3 linked regions of the Oryzias latipes genome follow. The protein of the gene in region 1 binds, or shares a complex with, the protein of each later gene. Links are inferred from orthologs where the notes say so. Each region holds a gene or a part of one and is shown in the gene's direction. Other genes may lie near its edges. The genes, in order: ran, sirt2 and ipo13.

Region 1 (7,977 bases):
ATTGGTCAGGATAAAGCCAAACCGGTCTGTCTCTGGCTCCAAACTGATTTCTGACCCTGAATCAGATCCTGAGTTGTCCTCTTCGCTGGTGTGTTTTGGAGCTTGACCTGACATCTTCCTACAGCAGAAGATGAGACTCTTACGTCCACTTTGCAGTAAAGCTGGAAAGGTCCATCAGCGTTGAAGTTCAAATGGCCGTCAACGTGTTTTTCCACTGTTTTGTCAGATGATTGCTGAGATCTTTTGTCTTTTTTTGATAATGTTTAACTTCTTGCCATTTTATGAAAATGCACAAGCATCAACGCTCTTAAAAATATGCACTAATAATAAATACCTTTCAAAGTTTCGTCATGGCTGTTTTGTCTGTTGCTGAGGAGGTAAAGCGTAAGACCCAGCAGTGATGAAAGAGGAAGGCAAGCTTCCTCTCTCTCTCTTTCTTACTCATTTTCCTTTAGCTGTTCATTCTACACTCCGCCCATTTATACATAACTTGTGTATCTAACAATCCTCACCCTGAGAAAATGTTTTAATCCATGTGAACTTGTTTTTTATATAAACTACTTAATTAAGAAAGGAATAACAAGAGATTTTGACTTGTGAAATGTCAAAAGTGACATTTAAGGTGTCACAACAGAGCAAAATATGAAATAAAGACGCCCCTTAAACTTATCTAATGTACAGTTCAGGGACTGCTGCCCGTTTTTATAGCTCAGTGGGAAATTTGTGTACAAACATGCACTTTAAAACTATTGGTTTTTGGTATAGACTTTAAAAAAGGAATCTGTACTATCTTGTCTGAATTATCCCAAAACATTTACCTATCACAATAGTGAAAAAAGGCTGAGTGCCAAATGAAGTCTAAATCAGGTCAAGCAGTGAAAAACCTCGATAAACAGGAGTCATCTAAATAAACATATTTAGGAATACGTTAATAAATCTTTAAGAGACATGTGTGCTGTTCTAAAATGTTTTAAAATGAGTGTAGAGGCCATAAATATCTAGGTATATTTTAGGCTAGTTTTTAGCAGTTTAACTAACTATCCTTTCTTACTTATTTACAATGAGGATCAAAGATAAATCAATAAAAATCTATAAATTTTTGTTTGCCTGTTAATCTATAATTCTGTAGTGTTAATGAAGTGCTGTTATGTTGCGAGGGCTACTTTTTCCGATTATCCTGTGTTTCCTGAATGCACCATGACGTTGAAGTTCTCTCACGGATTTGGAACCCCAGATTAACGACTTTGTTCAAATTGTGTTCCCCCGTCTGCAGGTTTCTGTGGTTTAACACTAAGTTTTGTAAGTTCGTATGTGTGTTTTGGTCTGGTCTGTATCCCCGCAGATGTCTGCCTCACTGAGTCTGCGTTTTCTGCGTTGCTGCTCTGAGCAAGGTACCGAACCGCATGCATTAAACATCATCACAGTGAGTGATTCAGTTCCATTCCTCTGGCTCTCTCTCTCTCTGCAGGTATTTTTGGATTTGGCCCCGGTGTCATCATGCGAACTTTAAGTGTTAGCGTGCAGAGAGGCGGTTATAGTACGTGTTGCCAAAAAACAACAACAACAACAACAAAAAAGAACTGCAGATTATTGGTGTTTTCTGAATAATGACCAAGTCTAATAAATCCTTAAAAAGCACTCTGTAATTTCCTCTCTAATCTTCTTGCAGAGTATGTCAATGCCCAAGAGCTGCCAACTGATCTGAGATCTATAACTGACCGTGCTGCCACAACCCTGCTTTGGACTGAACTCTTTAGAGGTAACACTCCTTTTTGATTTTAGCAAAGATGGAGCGTTTTGTAAAAGCTAGACAATTCAGATTCCCAGTAAACATGTTTTACAAACTGGCATTATGCAAAACAAAACAAACCTATTCATACATTAACAGATGCACATACTGTTTGCACCTCAGCATACCTAATGCATTTTGGTTTTCTACTGATCTTAATTATTTCAACTTTAATGAGCAGAAAGTGTTTAAGAAAACTGAAGGATTGGGTTGATGTTATTGATAAGTCTCCCGTTTCCATTTCTCATACTGTAATTATTAGTACACAGTGTCTGGCTGATGTTCTGTTTGATTCCTTTGTCCACTTTTTCCTCACAGGTTTGGGGATGACTATGAGCTACCTGTTCCGGGAGCCTGCGACCATCAACTATCCATTCGAGAAGGGCCCTCTGTCGCCACGGTTCCGTGGCGAGCACGCCCTTCGCCGATATCCTAATGGAGAAGAGCGTTGCATTGCCTGTAAACTGTGTGAAGCCATCTGCCCTGCTCAGGTGAGCGCAAATTAACAGTGTTTTACATTTTTATTGTAAATAAAATGATGCACATGTCAACAAATGAGAAATAGACATATGGCAGACAGGAAGATAAATGACAAGAATAAAAGCATCGTCTTTCAAAATGCAAGGATGTAATAAGTAAAAATAAACCTAAAAAAAAAACTAAAAGGAACTGGTCTGCATTTATCGAATGCTTTTGAATTTGTGTTTTACTTGTATTTTAATTCAGTGTGATACATTCTGTCTTGTGTAGTTCTTCTATTCTATTCTGTCCTGTTCTATTCTATCCTATTCTATTCTATTGTTCAAATGAATGACATGCTACATAAGAAAAGCTTTTTTTTGGCAGGTTATACAAATAAATAGTGCAGGTAACTGTCTAATGAGCATTTGGAGCAAGCAACAGCGAAAGCTCTGGCCCCCCAGAGCTTACACTTTGACCTTGGTTCATCCCAGAGCAGCTGATCAGCTGATCTGACTGAAGTGGAAGTTAAGGAAAGGAAATAAAATATCTACAAATACTACAAAATTTACAGGCTGGTGGTGGAGAAATGCCAAAGTTGATGTTAAGTAATATTTTCAGGTCTTTCAATTTTGCTTATGACATACTATATTTTTCTGTAGCATTTTTTTTAACGTTTGACTAACACTCAGTATGCACACGACATGCTGGGCTCTTACAGCCCTTTATCCTTTGAAGTAAAGATTTCTTATACCAAGAACTGCTTGTCTGGTCTGATCTTTTGTTTCCTCATGTCTAAGGCCATTACTATTGAGGCTGAGACTCGAGCTGATGGCAGCAGGAGAACTACTCGCTATGACATTGACATGACAAAGTGAATCTACTGTGGTTTCTGCCAGGAAGCTTGTCCTGTTGATGCTTTTGTTGAGGTAGGAAAAAGTATTGTATTTTTTATCGCGATTTTCTTTTGTTTGGCGATCAGAGTGGTTTTTCACGTTTGAATGTCTGGTATTTCTTTTTACATTTGTCCTTTTCTCTTTAAATTTCTCTAAGGGTCCAAACTTTGAGTTTTCCACAGAAAGCCACGAGGAACTACTGTACAACAAAGAGAAGCTGCTCAACAATGGGGACCGATGGGAATCAGAGATAGCAGCCAACATACAAGCAGACTACTTGTACAGATAAACCTTTTGCATCTGCAGTCTTTACTAGGCTTTACTGCATTAAAAGCATTTACTTTACTATTATATGAGCCACAAAGCCTTTAGGTCTGCTGCTTTCCTGTCAGAATTTAAAATCGTAAAAACGCACAAATTATATTATATATTGTACAGATGAGTAGTGTTAAACTTATAAGTGTTAAATTTGCACATTTTTATACAAAATGAGGCTAATACAAAGTCTGGAAACACTTTGATCTGACTGTGTAGTTTGAAAAATGTGAAATACTCTTATTTAGGACTAGTTATGACACTAAAATAAAGCACATTGGAAAATGTTGTGCTCATTTGTTTGTTGCATTGCATCATTGTCTTAAAATAAAAATATAAGGACGCATTCATGAGAATATAAAGAACTAATAGCAGACTTTTATATATTTAATATTTATATATTATATTATTGCTATATTTATACATTACATTATATACATATATAAATATACTAAACTATATATTTTTTAAACTGTATTTAGAACCCAAACTCAAAAAGGTAATTCTTTTCAAACCGTTTAGTGAGTCACGTGACCAGGGCGGAAACTGACTCATAGTCCACGCTGAATCTCCCGCGAACGCGGCCATTTAGTCTTTCCTCTCGCTGCAGTTACACCGGTGAGTCTGTGATCACTTGCTGCCGCAGGCCATTCCATATTTTCAACTTTGTACCCGTTTAAAGGGTTTAATAGAGAAAAATACGTTGAGGTAGGATTAGGATTCACGCGTTTGTGTAGGCCATGTGATGTGTGTACTCAGAGAAACCAATCAAGCTATTCGTGTTTCTTTTTTGTATTTCTGTGTGCCAACTGCTAGCTAAGCTAAGCTAGCAGTTGGCCCCGTTGAAAAGAATACCCACGGTGCTAAGCTAACGCTCGCGTTTGCTAGCAGTTATTAAGGGGACTTCTGTGTGCTTTTTCATAATCGTCTGATTGTATCCTTATATTAGATTTTAAAAATACCGTAAATGACTTGCACGTGAAAAACGTGCTTAGGTCGGATTCGAACCGGTTTACAGAGGGGAACACGTTTGTGGCGTATCGAGACCAATTGTTCTAGCCGAACAAGAAAAAGTGCGCTCTCGCGTCATATGGCGCACTACGTTAGTGCTTGTTAGCATTCGAGCTAGTTGGTAACCATCGATTTTAACGTTGTGCCTTAGGGCAGGTTTGTTTTTATTTAATGATGCCGTATTCTTTTGACCCGTTTTCGTTAATTATGTTTTCGACTAAAAAGAGGAACGCATTGCTACACACTTGCTGGTGTGTATAGAACATGCTAGAAGTTATAGGCGGGTAACGGCCCGGTTCTTCTTAAACTTACAGACCGTAAATTCCACAAATAATTACGGTTGTAGCTCTTCGTTTAGTCATATTTAATTTCCTCTAATGTGACCAATGCTAACCCGAGCAGACCGCTAGCATGCTAACAAATTCATCCCGCCTTTCTTTTTACTTAGAAAAGTCGCAGCCATGGCTGATTCAATGGGGCAGTCTGTACCAGTTGCAGTTTTCAAGGTAAGTTATGTCATAGCAATTGATATGTTTATTTGTTGCCCAGTGTTCGTAAATGCTAAATGCAGTGTCTCCTCAACAGTTGGTGCTGGTTGGAGATGGAGGCACAGGAAAAACGACTTTTGTGAAGAGACACATTACAGGAGAGTTTGAGAAGAAGTATGTAGGTGAGTATATTCCACTGTAATTACAGATAAACAATATTTTCATCTTTTTAGATATTGCTGTACAAACCGAAACAGTTGGAAGTTCCCAATACTATTTTTGAGTTAGAATGTGCTGGAACATCATTCAAATCTTTGATTGTATATAATAGCCAATATTTTACTTGGGGTGTCGCGTTTAGTGACACGGAGGTTTAAAAATAGTCAAAAAGCTCAAAGTTTGCATTTGAAAGTATTAATGTAAATATTTTCTGTTTAGCAATATGTGGTATTGCAGATAAACCCATGAGCCACGCTTAAAAGCAATATGGTTTTGTCTTGATTTTAAAATATTTTGTGCTTTCGATGACACCTCTACGCGTCTTCTTCTATTACAGCTACTCTCGGAGTCGAAGTGCACCCACTGATGTTCCACACCAACAGAGGACCCATCAAGTACAATGTCTGGGACACAGCTGGTCAGGAGAAATTTGGGGGCCTGAGAGATGGCTACTATATTCAAGGTGCTCCTTTTATTTTCAGAGAGGTTGTCTTGTGCGTGTGACCTCTGAATATTAAAGTTGATACTTATCTGTCCCATCAACAGCTCAGTGTGCTATCATCATGTTTGATGTCACATCTCGGGTCACCTACAAAAACGTACCCAACTGGCACCGTGACTTGGTCCGTGTCTGTGAGAACATTCCCATTGTCCTTTGCGGCAACAAGGTAGACATCAAAGACAGAAAAGTCAAAGCCAAGAGCATCGTGTTTCACCGCAAGAAGAACTTGCAGGTAAAATTGCTTCTTTTCTTTTTTTTTTTAATTATTCAGTGTCTCTGTGTTGAATTTACACAAACTCATTTGTATTTGTCTTATTTAATTTCTTTTTCCAGTACTATGACATTTCTGCCAAGAGTAACTACAACTTTGAGAAGCCCTTCCTGTGGTTAGCAAGGAAGTTGATCGGTGATCCAAATCTGGAGTTTGTGGCAATGCCTGCCCTTGCTCCCCCAGAGGTCCTTATGGACCCCAACCTTGCCGCTAAATACGAGGAAGAACTTCAGGTGAGTAGTACACGGTTTTTCTTTCATATTGCACATTAATCATCATGTGCATTCATTAAAAAAACAATAAATGTCACAAAGGAACGATATACACGCTCTGCTTCTGTTTTCCTGTTGGGTGCTTAAACATTATTTTGTTTTCCAGGTTGCATCACAGACAGCACTCCCAGATGAAGAAGATGACCTCTAACCTGGGAACCGCTTTCCTTAACCCTTTCCTTTTACCCTTCTCTCTCTGACTGTGGACAGGAAGTTGTTTTGCCCCTTTACTGTAAAATCCCTTTTCAGATTTTTTTATTTTTGAATTTTTTTGTTTTAAAACTTACAAAGAAAAAAAAACTTTGTGCAAAAGTTGTCGTTCTAATTTCATTGTAGGACAAGCCCATCCCAGATTTGTTGTTGGCATGGCAACGTGCTACTTTTCATCAAGCACTCTCCACTGCATCTACCCAACTCACATAATGCTGTTGTACGGTGTACTGGGAGCACTAAGGGGAATAAACTTTGAATAAAAATATTGTCATTAAAACATTGACTTGACTTTGTTTTTGCTTAATATCTTTGTTTCCTAAATAGTACATGTAAATGTGAAATAATCTCAATGATAGTTGTTTATAAAAAACTTTCAACCTTAATTGCTCTTCAATCCTATTTTCCTTTAAAAGTATTAAGGCTTTTAGGCATTCTTTGGTTAAGGAATTTAAAGATGTATAACTGGCGGCTCAAATAGTGAAAACTTGTTTTATTAGCTTGTCTATTGCCTATAGCAGCCTGTGACCCTGAGAAGGGTTCATCAAGTTCTGAAGATGATGGATTGATGACTCTGACATTGGCACTAAAAGTTCCATTTCTAAAAGAACTAAAGCAATATTTTGTGACTAAAACGATGAAAGGACTGAGCTGATCTTTCCAGTTAAACATTTAATTGCTGCAAAAGTATGTGCACACCACAGAGTGAAGACTGCTTCCTGGAACTCGTGCTCTTGAGCTATTAACATTTTGAGCACTAGGTGGCAATTGTGTTCATGTATTTGCAGAGGCCTAAACTTGCCTGAGGTGTTGCATAAAGTGCAGATGGGTGTAGCTATTGTTCCTCTGACAACAGTGACATGTTTTATCATACACTAGATTACCAAAAGTATTGGCTCACCCAACCAAAGGATCAGACTAAGGTGTCCTAATCACTTGGTCTGGCCACAGATGTATAAAATCAAGCATGCATGCTTGCAGACTGTTTTCAAGAACATTTGTGAAAGAATGGACCGCTCTCAGGAGCTCAGTGAACTCCTGTCACAGGATTCCGCCTCTGCAACAAATCCAGTGGTGACATTTTCTCGCTCCTAAATATTCCCCAGTCAACTGTCAGCTCTATCAGGACAACATGGAAGAGTTAGGGAACAACAGCAACTCAGCCACCAAGTGGTAGGCCATGTAAACTGACAGAGAGGTCCATGGATGCTGAAGCACATAGTGGAAAGCGGTCACTAACTCTCTGCACAATCGATTGCTACAAAGCTCTAAACTTCATGTAACTTTCAGCTTAGCCCAAATACAGTACTCGGAGAACTTCATGAAATGGGTTTCCATGGCCAAGCAGCTGCATGCAAGCCACACAATGCAAAGTGTTGGATGCAGTGGTGTGAAACAGGCCGCCACTGGACTCTGGAGCAGTGGAGACGCCTTCTCTGGAGTAATGAATCACTCTTTTGCATGGCACACATTCCCAGGAGAACTGTACATTTCAGACTGCATTGTGCAAAGTGAGAAATTTGGTGGAGGAGCAATCATGGTGTG
Region 2 (7,617 bases), on another chromosome or scaffold:
CATAGCCAGAGATGTCAGGGTTCCCCCCCTCCCTGAGTGAAGAGCCCAACACCCAAGAGACATAATCACCACTGCTGGATGGCTGCAGCCCCGTCATTCCCAGGCTGCCTCCGCTAGACCCCGCCCAGTCTTTGGCACCCATGGGCAGTTTACCAGGAGACAGGGGCCCTTGTAAAAGGGTGCCTGTCGCTGGGCCCCCCCTACACACAGAAAGACCAATCACTCCTGTGTGTTAGTCCTCTAAGAACATTACCGTATTTTCCGGACTACAAGTCGCCCTTTTTTTCATAGGTTGGGTGCGACTTATACTCCGCAGCGACTTATATTAGAAATAAATTGAAATAAATACATTGTTAACCCTCCTGTTATGTTCATTTGTGAGGAACAGAGATGATGTTCCTGGGTCAATTTGATGTATGAGGTATGTTAAGTGTTAAGAGGATGTTAAGTGACTCAGAGAATCAGCAAACTTTTTTTTACAATAAGACCTTGAAGGCTAACAACATAATATTCTATTTTCCAATGATTTCATAGATTCAGAAATGCAATAAAAATGACTACATTCTACAAATACAGGATTAAAACAGAGTATTAGTTGGCCAATGATGCTTCATGAAAAGAATAAATAAATAAGCATGAGAAAGAATTACTGTGAAATTATGAGATAAACAGTCTGCTATGATTGTGTCATATGAGTTTGTGCAAGTTATTAGTTCTTGGTCTCAGATTTTGTTAAATAAATTTCCCGTCAAAATGCGACTTATAGTCCAGTGCGACTTATCTGTGTTTTTTTCTACTTTATAATGCATTTTTGGGCTGGTGCGACTTATACTCCGGAGCGACTTATAGTCCGGAAAATACGGTAGTTCCGGTCTGTGTAGAACTGAATCCTCACTGTTTTGGTCTGCTGCGTTCAGGTGCAGGGATGCAGTTGTCTTCTCATTGGTGTGTTTTTTTGTGTGTGTGTGATTCTGCTCTGTTCCTTCCAGTGGACTTCCTGCGGAACCTCTTCTCCAGCACTTTGGGCCTCGGCTCTGCAGAGAAGGTTCTGGATGCTCTGACTCTGGAAGGAGTGGCTCAGTATATAAAGAGCGGCAAATGTGAGTGTTAATGGGTCTGCAGATGTAGGTTCGCTTTCACACACTCACAGGTTTTGTTTGGATCACGCAGGTAAAAACATCATCTGCATGGTTGGTGCAGGAATCTCCACATGTGAGTATTTAGGCTTTGTTTATTTTTGTTGACATGTTTTTGATGATGTAAACACTGTGTCCATGTTTTTCCTCTGAAGCTGCTGGAATTCCAGATTTCCGTTCTCCAGAAACCGGCCTGTATGCAAACCTGCAGAAATACAACCTGCCTTACCCAGAAGCCATCTTCCAGATAGATTACTTTAAGGTTTATGGAGGACCTCATGTTATATTAACACTGCCATAATGTAAATATATAATATATACAATGAAGAAAAACATCCATATTTGAACTGTTCTGTTTCAGAAACATCCAGAACCGTTCTTTACTTTGGCGAAGGAGCTCTACCCAGGACAGTTTAAGGTACAGCTCCAGCCTTCAGAGTGAGAGCCCCCTGGTTGTCACGTCTTTCACATAGTCTGCGCTCTTTTGTCCATCTCCAGCCAACCATCTGTCACTACTTCATAAAGTTGCTGAAGAACAAAGGCCTCCTGAGACGCTGCTACACTCAGGCAGGAAACCTGCAGCATCTTCTCCCTGAAGCTCTGTTGGGGTTCCTTTGCCTTATGGTTTGGGTTTCTCCATGCAGAACATCGACACTCTGGAGCGAGTTGCAGGTCTTGAAAAAGAAGATCTGATTGAAGCTCATGGGACCTTCTACACCTCCCACTGTGTCAGCTTCTGCTGCCGTAAAGAGTACAGCCTGGACTGGATGAAAGGTTTGGTCTTCACTCAAAGATCTGTTGGATTTAGACCTCTGGACTCTAAACTTTAGAACTTTGCTTTGCAGAGAAAATCTTCTCTGATGCCATTCCCAAATGTGAGAAGTGCAACAGTTTGGTGAAACCAGGTCAGGTCCTGATGTTTGATCCTGCTGTTTAAAATGGTTTTGGTCTATTGCCATCATTTTTTTTTTTTTTAATATTTTCGGCTAAAATTCCTTCACGTTGAACAGACATTGTTTTCTTTGGGGAGAATCTGCCGGCGCGTTTCTTCACATCAGTGAAGATGGTGAGATCATCACGTTGCTTTCAACTACTTTGAATTGAGATGCAAAGAAATGGCATTTTTGTGTCCACATTCTGTAGGATTTCCCTCGCTGTGACCTTCTGATTGTCATGGGGACGTCTCTGCAGGTGCAGCCGTTTGCAGGTTTAGTCGGCAGGTATGGCGTTCGTCCTGCAGGGTCACCTCCTCACAAAACTCACAGGAAGCTGTGGATCAGATTTAAAAAAAAAAAAACACTTTTCTTTGTTCTTTAGGGTTTCCAAGAGTTGCCCCCGGTTGCTTATTAACATGGAAAAGGCAGGGGAGGTAAGCGTTTTCAGCGCCCCCTGACACTCCTTACACCTGTCAGAGCCACGGCGGTGTGGGAGTGGCTTCATGGTGGCGTTCCTCTCTGCTTCTGCAGGCTGACCCCATGCTGGGGATGCTGGGATTTGGAGGAGGCATGGACTTTGACTCAGACAAGGCGTACAGGTGAAGAACTCATCCAGCGGATCCAAACGGATCTTTCCCTTACATCCCAAATGGGTCGCGTCTGAAGATGTTTGAAGGTTTTTCCTATAAAAAAAAAAAAAGGGGGATGATGGGATCTCTGTAAACTTAGTTTATGGATTTTATTTTTCAAAAATGACTGCAAGTAAACTCCCATCTTTACGTTTGAGCTTCCTGTCAGTAGTTTTTCCGCGTCTCTGGACTGTTCTCCAGTGACGGAGAACTTTGTAGGTTCACGTCACTGTTGATGTTGAACGCCCCACGAAACACCTAAAACATGGACAGATGTTTTTCCAAAAGCAGATTTCTTCGGACACTGATCAATTTGACAGTTAGTGATTTTGGGCTCCGGCCTTTAGGGAAATCTAGCGTTCTAGTGATGGTATGCCCCGCCTCCAGGTCAGCTGTTTTTTGTGCTGTGAGCCAGAAAACGTGACAACACAAAGTGAAACCTTGTCTCTGGACAAATTCAGTTTCTTTAAAGATGAACATTTCTAAATGTACAGCGGGGAGGTTTACTAAGAGGAAATTCATGTTGGTCCTTTTATTTGGAGCAAAGATGTTTTGAGGCTTCATCGTCCTTGTGGGGCTTCACATGTGTTCTTAAATAAAGAACTGTGTTAGAGAAATTCTGGATTTTCTTTTTCAGGAGATCCTGTTTAGATTCAGAGAAGATTTAGGACCTGAGATGATCAACTCCACTTCACTGAAAAACTCTGTGACGTTTTTCTTCTTTGTCTTAGTTTTATTTGTTCACATCTGACTTGTGTCCTGAGAACGGCATTTTCAACCAGGATGTTTTTTTTCTTTCTTCAAAATTCTTTCTTTCTTAAATTACATTTTTTTCTTTCTTCAAAATTCTTTCTTTCTTAAATTAAAAACGATAACTTTTTAATTTTTTAATTCTTTTTAATTGAAAGCGGAAAGCCCTGGGTTTTTACTGCTAACGGTCGGTCGCTCTCTGCAGGGATGTGGCTCACATCAGTTCCTGTGATGACGGCTGCCTGGCTCTGGCTGACCTGCTGGGCTGGAAGGTATCTCCTGCTCCTACTCAGATCCTCTCTGAACTTTTTTCCCCACAGAATCCAGAAAGCACCTTCCTGCTTAACCACTGAATCGACCCATTTGTTTTGGTTTTGTTTGTTTTTAATAAAGAAATACAAAAAAATGCCAAAATAGAACTGCTTTCAAGCGAAATAAATTCATAAATATATAAACCAGTATTTCTCTTATTCAGTGAAGTTTGATTGGATTCATTGATTTATATAATTTATAATAGTTTTTTTAAGGTTCATTGAAAAAAAAAAAACGGCAACAAAATGAACTTTTCACTGCTGCTAGTGTGTGTAACTTTCAGATGATGTTCTTGAATGAAGCTGCTTTCCTCTGAGCACGGCACATATAAGACTCCATCTTCTGCCGTCTGTCCTCCACAGGCCGAGCTGGAGGCTCTGGTGAAGCAGGAGCACGCTCAGATCGACAGTAAAGACAAGAAGGAGCAGCCTGGAGAAGCTGGAGGAGCGGCGGCCAAAGCCAGCTCGTCCTCTGTGAAGCCAGAGGAGTGACCTCACTTAAGCCGACGGCTGGTATCTAAGTTGGATCAAGACTTCAGGCTGATGTCAAAATTCTAATATCTTTTGCACTTTTGTGACTTTTCCACGCTTTCTGCTGTCGCTCATCATGTGACTGCAGCCCGCACAGTTATGCTTCCTGTTTGACTAAAACTGAAACCAGGTGAGATGGTCTGCAGCTCGTTTGACTCTGCAGTGAGACGAACATAAAAATCAAAAATTTGCTATTTATAGCATTTCAAAGTGAAACTGTTTACATCCCAAATGTTCTTTGCAGAAAAGTAACTCTGTTTTTCTTTAACTTAGTTTAGTGATTTTTAATCATATTTAATCTCTTTAACTTGAAGTGTTTCATCGTCTCTTAATTCTGATGCTTATTTCAAAAAGTCTTGGTTTGAAGAAATGCAGCAGGTTTTTATAATAAATGTAAAAATAAGACATCGGCAGAACAGAATTGAAATTGAACAGAAAAAAACTGTTGAAACCCAAGATCAGAAAAAACATAAGCTTCGATGAACTGAAATTATCAGCAACTGAAGCTGAGATCCAGGTTTGTGATCGACTAAAGCAAAACCTGCAATAAACTCAACCTTGGTTCAGTTTTCTTTGTCCTCTGTTTATCCAACACACCCATACATTGATTTGTAACAAACTTTATCTACCCTTTTTAACCTGTTTGGGCTCAAAAGAATTTTCTACATCATTTTTACTTTATGGGAAAATAGGTTTGGTTACTTCTGGGCTTTTAAAAACCTTCTAAAGACCAGGAAGTCCCTCCTTTGTTCAACTTATTGTTTCAAAGTTTGAGTCAAAACTTTCCAAGCAAAAATCACACCTACTTTAGTCATCTGAAGTGAATAAAGCAGAGTTCAGGGACCAGGAGCTATTGCATTGTGGGATTGGATGTTCTGAGTTCTCCCCCACAAATTGAGAAGATAAAGAGAAAACTTAATGATTTAAAGAAATCCAAATTTGGAAACTAAATCTATGCCAAATTGAAAAACAACAACACTGACCGCGTTTATACCAACCTGCAACAGATTGAAAAGTCACTTTTGGTTTTTCATGGATGGAAAAACTTCATCCATCCTTTCGTTTTAGTGAGAAGACCGAAGCTGAATTCGGATGATCAGCTCTAGATCTCCTATTCTCACACTCCAATAAATCACGAAAACATGAAACATTCTCAAACTAAATAACTACTCTTCATCTCTGACAATGGCACCAGCACAGTTTCTGCTTTCATTCATCTGACTCCAGAGGAACTCTGAAGGAGACACCAATGAACCTTAAATTTAAAGTAATCTAATGGAGCATAAGCATCAGAAATATCAGCTGCCTGGTTTGATTCATGTTCTGACTGAGAACATTTCAGCGCCAGGGATCTCCGGTAAAGATAAACTCACCGAATTAATGTCTAAGACGGACGAGTTAAATTAAAGTATTTGACGTATGCACCTCTCTGCAGCTCCAGGGCTGTTATTGAAGGAACCTCCTATGTAGTTCTTACGTAGGAGGCTCAAACTGCGGTAAAGAAGAACCCAGAGATTCTTCAGAATGTCAGTGTTAAAGCGGTTCTGGAAGTTAAGGTTCTGAGCTAAACGTTGGTTAAAGCGCATTAACATGAATACTAAATCAAAAGAGAGACTTATTTTTCTGTTTAAAGTTTGTTGTTAAAATCACAGCCTCTAGTTCTCCAAGCCTTTCTACATGAATGTTGTCCGTTGGTGGAGGAGACAGCAGAACATTGTTGGGGATGACCGATTCAAAGGCACCTGGAACTTCAATGAAGAGCTGATGGGGGGTGGGGGTGGGTGGGGTGAAGGCACGATGATGCTCAGACATGCTGGTTCAGCAGATGAAACACGCCTAACCTCAGACGTGGACATCCTAACCAGATCTGTGATGACAGGAAGGAGAAGATCTGCTCTGATAAAGCTTATTCTGGACTGTTGCATCCTCCGGTCCTCCATGTCTGCAGCCTCTTTTTACAGGAAACACCTCCTGTCTCAGAGATGGTTTGAGGAGCTCTCTTATAAATGAAGTGTCGGTTTGTATTTTCCTTAAGCTTTCCTCCAACTTTTGCAGCTCGCTGCTAGTCCTGAGGTCGGACCGGACGTCCATGAGGGCCTCTTGGGTTATGACGTCTTCCTTGAATCTTGTTGCCACAGAGATGGACAGGGTGCGGTTAACACTCTGAACACGAGGAGGAAATGGAACCTGAAGGTTTGCAAGACAGTTTTCCACCAAACTGTGTTTTTTTAAAGAGTATCTACAACCGTCCCTAAAAACTACATGAACTTCAGAGAAAATCTCGGGTTCTGATGCTTGCACTGAGTAGAAAGCAGTTCTATTAGAGCGTGAAGTCAATGTGCAGCGTCGGTGAGCACAGCAAGTGCAGAACTGGGTTAACCACACACACATGGAGGGGGGCGGGGGGGGGTTGCATGATGGGGGTTGTAGAGTTTCAGAGCTCATTAAAGACCTGCGTGTGATGCAGACAAACGAAGGCAAAAGGTGTCGGCAGGACATTACAAACCTGCAGCTTAGCTCCCAGTCTTTCACATCTCGATGATGATTCCAGAAAAGAATGATGCTGCTTCAGGTCTGATGCCGTTCTGAGCTTTGAAGCTTCTGTTGACGCCACAAAGAAAAGAAAAGTTCAAGAGAGAAGAGTGCAGGATGACAACTGACTGCTAACCGTGCAGGAAGAGGAAACATGTAAGTAGTAACTAATTATATCCAATCTTTACTGTCAGATGGTTGAATCACATTAAGCCGCGACCAAAAAAAATACATAAAAACTAAGAGTACAGAAAAATTCTTTCTAGTTTTATTTAGTTTCAGAAGACGGTTTGTCAAAACTGGCTTTAAAGATGTTCAAGCGCGCTCACAAATGTAGCCACATGTTCAGGGCAGTCCACAGTCCAGTTAATGGGACCACAGCCATCCCATGGAGGGGCAGCAGGAAGAAACTGTCGCTGCTGGAGCAGCTGAGGGGGTGTCAGGAGGCCTGGAGTCCAGTGGAAGAGTGGGACAGAGAAAGAGCTCATGCCGCCATCTTTGGGACTCCTGCTGGGGTGAGTTTGTTTTAGAGAACGTATTTTCTTTAAAATCCACTTTTTAGAAATTTCAGTAAAGGTCCGAACTTAGTGTAAACGGAAGAAATGAAATCTCATTCAAAGGAAAACAGGAGTGTAAACTTTACTTCCTTTCAGCCATGGAGGAAATGTTTGTCGTCTGATGTTGGAGAATCACCTGTGTCAGAAATGCCTAAAAATCAGGAGACTCAGTAGATCATTGATGGGTTTTCCTCTACAGAGATTAGTTTCAAATCTAAAGCAAAGTGAAGGGATCA
Region 3 (6,222 bases), on another chromosome or scaffold:
TTTCAAAAATTAAAATTTAGTTTTTCAAAATTCCCTTGAAGGACAAACACCGATCATCTTTTGATCTATTTTCAAAGCGTTCCCAGTGATCTTTTTAATATGATGCTGTTTTTAGGCTACATCCCAAAATCCCGCGAGGCTCTCTAGGACAGTTTTTTTAGTGCGACAGAAGTTCATTAGAAATTCACCTCTGAGTCGTAGGCGAGACTGTTGACATGGAGTAAGTCTTTCTCATTTCCCATCATCCCTTTGTCCACACGTTCTCCTGCTGGCTTACAGCCCCTCACAGCACCAGGCTAACATTACTGGTGCAACAAAAATTGCGCGCAATAGTGGAGCTGTGCAGTTTTGAGCCAGAGACGATAAAAACAAAGACCTACATTGAGCAAATTGTCTACAAGTGGATCATCAGAATGGAGCAGTGCGGGGAGCTTGTGGCCTGCTGTAGTAGACTCACTACAGCAGGTGGTTGTGGTAGTAAACACCACAACCACCAAGCATTTTTTCTTACAACATTTTTTCATCTGTTCCAGATTTACAACAATTTAAATAAAAAAATACTCAGAAATGCAAATTTAAGCGTAATTTCTTTATATATGACCTACATCATCAGAAAGATGCCACAAGAACATGTTAAAAACACCAAAAACCCATTTTTCATTGGAGTGGGCCTCTAAGCTGATCCTAATTTGACCTCATAGCGGTGCATCCTCTTTGAACTTTCTCTCTCACCTCTCTAGGGAATTGGAGGCGGAGCTTCTCGGAGTCTCATGGACCAGTTTGCAGAAGTGCTGTTTAGCCTGAACAAGCACTGCTTCTCCCTGCTGGCTGTGTGGCTGAAAGAAGTGCTGCAGCCTCCTGGATTCCCATCATCACGCATCACCACTGAGCAGAAAGTCAACTTCTCCCAGCAGATACTCAGGTAGCTCAGCAGAATCCTTGCTCACTTGCTTCAGTACCAATGGCTGTGTCCAAATTCGAGGGGCTGCATCCTTCGACGGCCGAAGCCTTTGCGGGCGACGTTAACCCGGTCCTTCGTCGAGCGGGTTGACCGGCTGTGAAATTGGACGAGTCTAGGCGTTCGATAATTCCAGCCGTTACATCGGCGAATGTCATGTCGCCTAGTCCTCTGTGAGTCCCAAACACAGAGGACTAGTAAACCAGGCGTGGAGCTCAAAATGTTCCTGGCTTATTTGATCCAACTTTAAATCTTGGAGGTGTAATTCTAAAAATGTTTAATTATCTCCAACTCCGGGTTCCGCTTCACAGTCCACCATTATTGTCAGAAAATCTCCAGGTTTGACCGCAATGCATCTTCTATATGGACAGCACAGAGGGATACACCAGACCAATCCTTAAAATCGAAGAAAATCAAGGCTGTATTCGTTGAATTTGGACAGCACTTGTCGCGCCGCGGTGACGTAAGCAGCTTTCAAATGCAGCCCAGGAGGAAAGCAGCTCTCAAATTTGGACACAGCCAACTTCTCAGGCTTGTGGCAGCAGGTTCATGGGTGTAGTGGTAACGGTTTGCTTTCCTCTACCTCAAGCAGAGAACGGGTGAACAAGAGAAGGGTGAAGGACATAGTGAAGGAGTTCACACTACTGTGCAGAGGTCTCCACGGTACAGAGTACGCCGCCGATTACTGAAACTCACTCCTGGAAACTCTCACCTGCGACCTCTGATCTCAGCGCAAAGCAAGTGGAGGCCACAGCCAAACAATTCGATCCCCATGATCCACCATGAAATGATTGTAACGATGATCCACCCAGCCGCTGGACCAAGTATGGAACCATTCCAGCACAGACCTGCCATTAGAACAACAGACGCTCAACCCCAGGTTGCTCCAGAGCAGCCACCTTCTCTCCTGCAATTGTTTTCCCGTGATAAGAGCTACCCCCTCTTTTCCATCTTGGAAGAGGTTTTGCTGGAAGAGCTTTGAGCAGCATGTACCTTACAGCCCCCCCCCCCCTTTACACCCGACTCTTTCTGCCTGTCTAGATCTTCCTGTGGTTCCTAGGTTGTTTCCTGGTGTTTAGCATCCATTTGAAATGGTAGTAATATTGTACGTAGATACTTTACATTAATTTCAATGGTAAACAAAGTACATTATATAAACGTATATGTATGCACATATAGAAAGACAGTGGTTCTTAGTCCTGCTGCTGCTAAAAAGGGGGGGGGGGGGTGAAGGAACAATGGTTAGGGGAGGAGTCCGCTGTTTAAAATGAGTCAAATACTGTTAATTCCCATTTATGGCCATGTGATCTCAGCATTTGCCAAAATATATGTTTTTTTTGGTGAACTTTTAGGTATTTTTTAAAAGAGGACCCTTTGGTGTAAGAATCAAAGAAGATGACAACGTTTGGACTAATCCAAGTACAAACCGAACTCTTTGTGTAAGGAACTGTAGATCCCCGTTTTCAAACTGCAGTCTCCTTGCGTCGGAGACGCTCCCTAAGGCGAAGCAGGGACTGCCTGGAGCGACGCCTGAGGGGAAACGGAGCAATCCCAGTAATTGACAGCGAGAGGAGAAAGAGCTGAGCTTCTGGACGGATCGGTTCACTTGGCAGTGGACCGCTTAGTCACTGTAATTGTGCAAAAATATTAATCAACTTGTGCATATTAACAGTTATTGCTGAACACTTTGAGTATATGAGTGTATGAATGCTTGTATGTGTGAGAGCAAATGTGGCTCTTTTTTTTTTTTTTTTTTCCACTTCTTCAGTGCACTTATAATGGACCTACCAGAACCAATGCATCTTCTTCCTCTCTTCTTTTGTTGAAGCATCTTGTTCATTTCTTCGCCGCAAACTGAGTCGGCACATTCAGCCGCAGCGATCCACAGCGTCGTGTCGGTAAAATCTTTGACCTCCAGGCTTTCTGTTATTGATGGCACTGATAACAAAATCCCTGTGATGAGCCACCCAGATTTCCCTTCGCCCATTTCAGTCACTGTCTTTGAGAAGAGCAAGAGTTGAGGGAGAACCTTCCCAGAGCCCACGTTCCCCACCCTTCAGTTCTCATTCATTTCACCTGAGACTGTAATATACACTGTTTAGTGAATCAGCAGAAACGGCTGACGACGTGTAACACTCAGCGCCTACGTTACTTTACAGCTCCAGAGATCACTGTTCTCAGCTTAACCCTTCTGTCTTATCCAAGGTGCCTGCAGACATGTAGCATGTAAGTGTTAGTGGTGGGTGGGGCTAAAGGGACAAATGAACTCAGAGTGGACAGAGGTACCAAAAGACTCCACGCAAAACGCAACACCTGAGGCAGGAGTCCAGTCTGAAGTGAGCCGTTCGGCTCCATTCTGAATCTATGAATGTCCTGATGTTCACCACTGATCCTCAAATCTGTTCTGTGGTTCTAGCTTGCAACGAGAAACTGACCAGTGTTTGTCTAAGATAAATGGAAGAACTGTGTGGGAGGAACAAAATGTACAATTTTTTGTTTTTGTTTTTTGTACCTTGACTTTAATTTATTAAATATATCCAAGACTGTATCAGATTTTTCGTTGATTTAGTTTAGATTACATATTTATGTTTTAAAAAGACAAAATAATTGCAAGGATCTAGGGAAAAATTATTCAGAGATCTGCATGAAACAACACACTTCACCAATAAAAATAAGATGAATTTGTTTAAGTGCAGGGGGACTAACTAAATAGTTTAAACTTTAGTTACAGATATTGACCGTCTGAATTACATCTTACCCACTATGGGGCCATCATCACTTAGCAAAAGTTAGTACACTTAATTTTATTTTTTAAATAAATGTGAATATAGCAAGTTTACTATAGACCAGGTGTCTGCGACTTTATGATTTGGAGCCACATGAGGCTCCTTTATCCATTTTGGCTCTTTGGCTTTAAACAAATGTTTGAATTAAAAAATAGATTTGTAGTTTTGGTTGATTTGTCTTAGTTAATTAAGTTTAACTTAAGTTAATTGTTTTTAGATGTTTAACATGTTAAATTACTGAGCAAAATCATTGTGAAAGGGTTTATTCTTCTGTCCCAGTGGTTTATTATTAGAATAAGTACATTTTATAATTCCTGCTGCACAACAGTGTCTTATCGCCACTTAGAGGCAAATCTCTTGAAATATAATTATATTTACATGTATGGAGTGTACATAGTGAGTGTTTATGTTCTAAAATGGATGATGGAATGTAAAAGACCCCGACCGCAGCGCCAGCCAGAACCCCCCCCAACACCCGCACAGCAGCAGATAGAGAACAAGCGCCCTCAGAGCGATCACATCCGCCACCCAGGCCAGGGCCAGCAGGGGACCCAAAGCCAAAGAGCAGGGGAGGCATGTGGGGGGCCAGAGAGTGCATGCTCCAGCCCAACCAGGAGAGCAGCCCCCTCCGCGCTGGGAGGGCCCAACGCGGGACCACACCCCAGAAGACCGCCCACAGCCCCAGACGAGCACCTCATCACCACCCAGGAGTTCTGGGCATCCCCCCACCCCAACCCCGGGTACGAACCAGGACCCCCCCAAGGGAGACCCGCCCCGCGCTCCAGGCAGCCACCCACCCGGCCCACGGTTGGTCAAGGAGTGAGCAAGGCAGGGACCAGCCATCCCTGCCCAGGAGGAGGACACCCAGTGGAAGAGGGGGTCTTGAAGAAGTGTTGTCCCTGCCCCTGAGGCCCAGTGCTCATGGGCAAGGACCAGAACCCACACCACAGGGACACGGACACCCCCGGCTCAGATGTGATCCCCGGCTCTTGGTCTTGCCAGAGAACTCATCCCCCGCCCCATCGCCCTAATAAAAGATTATATGAGGTAAGGGGTAAGTCGGGGAAAGCTGGTAGACTGTCCCCCGGTGGTCAAACAGCCCCCCCCCCTGGCATAGGACTCAGGTCTCCTCAGCCCAGGGGTCCCATCCCCCGAAGCGCCGACCCCCCAGGCCCCACACTACCCACCCCACACAGAGAGAGAGGAGCCTGAAAGCGCCGCCGCTCCCGGAGAAGGCACCGGCCCCCGCCCCCAGGCACCACCCCTGGGAGAGCTCTGTTCAGGCCTCAGCCCCGACCTGTCAACCCCCCCCCCCCAGGACAGGGCCAACAAGCTGGGGCTGCTTTGCTGCATCTGACACAGGGTGTCTTGAAGTTGTACAAGGTAAAATGAAATCTCCAGATTATCAAGGCATTCTGGATAGAAATGTGCTGCCTAGTGTCAGAAAGCTTGGTCTCATTCGCAGGTCATGGATCTTCCAACAGGACAACGATCCAAAACACACAGCCAAACACCCCCCCCACGAATGGCTAAGAGAAAAGTGTTGGACTATTCTGAAGTGGCCTTCTATGAGCCCAGATCTGAATCCCATTGAACAATTGTGGAAGGAGCTGAAACATGCCATTTGGAGAAGACACCCGTCAAACCTGAGAAATCTGGAGCAGTTTGCTCATGAGGAGGGGGCCAAAATACCTGTCGACAGGTGCAGAAGGCTCATTAACAAAATATTATATACTATATTTTGTTTTTTTGAGAAAAGAATATAAACCCAGACGTTAGAATGGCAGAAAATGTCCTATTTTACTTTGTTGTCTTTTACTTTTCTTTTTACATTTACTGTTGTCAAAAAGTTAATATTGTTAAATATATATTAGAAGATTTCACTGTTTCAATTCAGTCATTGAAATATTTAAGAACTACATCTTAAAAATGAATAGCTTAGTAACCCAAAAACCTAAATAAAGTGTATATTCGTACACAGTGAATTTTGCAGCTCCGGGTAGGTTTTGCTCAGGAAAAAATCAGATCAACTGGCTCTTTAAGGTCCACTCTGATCATCTTTGATCTATTGTAAAAGCGTTCCTAGTGGTCTTTTAATTACGACTTTTGGCGAAAATCTAAAAAATCGGTGTAATTTTTTAGGACTTAGTTTCTGCAGAGTGGCAGTAGTTTATTAGGAATTCACCTCTGACCTGTGGGCGGGTGTGAAAGTACGCTGCTGGTTATTTCCCATCATGCCTTTGTTTAAACTCACTCCCGCTATCAACGGTGCAACAAAATGGCGAGGAATATCAGAGATATCCAGCCAGACATTTTAGAGTCAGATTCCATCTCATACAAAAAACAAAACAAAGATATACATGAATTTATTTTTTGTAAGTGGATGCATCAGAATAGAGAGGAGCAGGGAGGTTGTGACTTGCCGTAGAAACCTCCATGTCAGACCTACAAGCTTTGTCTAATGGCATTTTTTCATCT

The links.
Region 2: the proteins of ran (region 1) and sirt2 are in contact, whole or in part, in a crystal structure (PDB 5FYQ), measured with the Homo sapiens proteins. The link is inferred for Oryzias latipes from reciprocal best matches to the Homo sapiens genes RAN and SIRT2. Residues at the interface, in NP_006316.1 of Homo sapiens: Phe35, Glu36, Lys37, Lys38, Tyr39, Val40; in NP_036369.2 of Homo sapiens: Phe96, Arg97, Glu116, Phe119, Gln167, Ile169, His187, Ile232, Val233, Phe234, Phe235, Gly236, Glu237, Ser238, Leu239, Phe244, Gln265, Val266, Gln267, Pro268.
Region 3: the proteins of ran (region 1) and ipo13 are in contact, whole or in part, in a crystal structure (PDB 3ZJY), measured with the Homo sapiens proteins. The link is inferred for Oryzias latipes from reciprocal best matches to the Homo sapiens genes RAN and IPO13. Residues at the interface, in NP_006316.1 of Homo sapiens: Lys37, Lys38, Tyr39, Leu43, Gly44, Val45, Val47, Pro49, Trp64, Gly74, Leu75, Arg76, Asp77, Gly78, Tyr79, Ile81, Gln82, Asn103, Arg106, Asp107, Arg110, Val111, Tyr147, Trp163, Arg166; in NP_055467.3 of Homo sapiens: Leu33, Tyr34, Tyr35, Ile39, Lys42, Gln46, Leu49, Met50, Gln53, Glu73, Tyr76, Phe77, Ser80, His83, Ile84, Ile118, Thr121, Arg122, Val125, Val172, Glu175, Glu176, Thr179, Ser414, Asp415, Arg784, Asp785, Pro787, Asp788, Pro829.

Annotation. Positions count from the first base shown.
Region 1 is NC_019868.2:13,952,520-13,960,496, reverse strand, and holds ran (GTP-binding nuclear protein Ran), read left to right. Parts: upstream 1-3,986; 5' UTR 3,987-4,077; exon of another isoform or gene 4,078-4,167; intron 4,168-4,334; exon of another isoform or gene 4,335-4,721; intron 4,722-4,918; 5' UTR 4,919-4,931; coding exon 4,932-4,976; intron 4,977-5,055; coding exon 5,056-5,140; intron 5,141-5,514; coding exon 5,515-5,640; intron 5,641-5,723; coding exon 5,724-5,911; intron 5,912-6,012; coding exon 6,013-6,183; intron 6,184-6,328; coding exon 6,329-6,373; 3' UTR 6,374-6,718; downstream 6,719-7,977. Other genes in the region: ecotropic viral integration site 5 ortholog, read right to left, coding at 1-114. UniProt on the Homo sapiens protein: GTPase involved in nucleocytoplasmic transport, participating both to the import and the export from the nucleus of proteins and RNAs. Switches between a cytoplasmic GDP- and a nuclear GTP-bound state by nucleotide exchange and GTP hydrolysis.
Region 2 is NC_019871.2:17,929,749-17,937,365, reverse strand, and holds the end of sirt2 (NAD-dependent protein deacetylase sirtuin-2), read left to right. Parts: intron 1-989; coding exon 990-1,100; intron 1,101-1,170; coding exon 1,171-1,212; intron 1,213-1,291; coding exon 1,292-1,398; intron 1,399-1,497; coding exon 1,498-1,554; intron 1,555-1,634; coding exon 1,635-1,703; intron 1,704-1,780; coding exon 1,781-1,910; intron 1,911-1,981; coding exon 1,982-2,041; intron 2,042-2,146; coding exon 2,147-2,202; intron 2,203-2,279; coding exon 2,280-2,356; intron 2,357-2,453; coding exon 2,454-2,505; intron 2,506-2,602; coding exon 2,603-2,670; intron 2,671-3,655; coding exon 3,656-3,722; intron 3,723-4,124; coding exon 4,125-4,253; 3' UTR 4,254-4,858; downstream 4,859-7,617. Other genes in the region: ras and Rab interactor 2, read left to right, coding at 7,136-7,339. UniProt on the Homo sapiens protein: NAD-dependent protein deacetylase, which deacetylates internal lysines on histone and alpha-tubulin as well as many other proteins such as key transcription factors.
Region 3 is NC_019862.2:26,617,821-26,624,042, forward strand, and holds the end of ipo13 (importin-13), read left to right. Parts: intron 1-740; coding exon 741-922; intron 923-1,547; coding exon 1,548-1,647; 3' UTR 1,648-3,506; downstream 3,507-6,222. UniProt on the Homo sapiens protein: Functions in nuclear protein import as nuclear transport receptor. Serves as receptor for nuclear localization signals (NLS) in cargo substrates.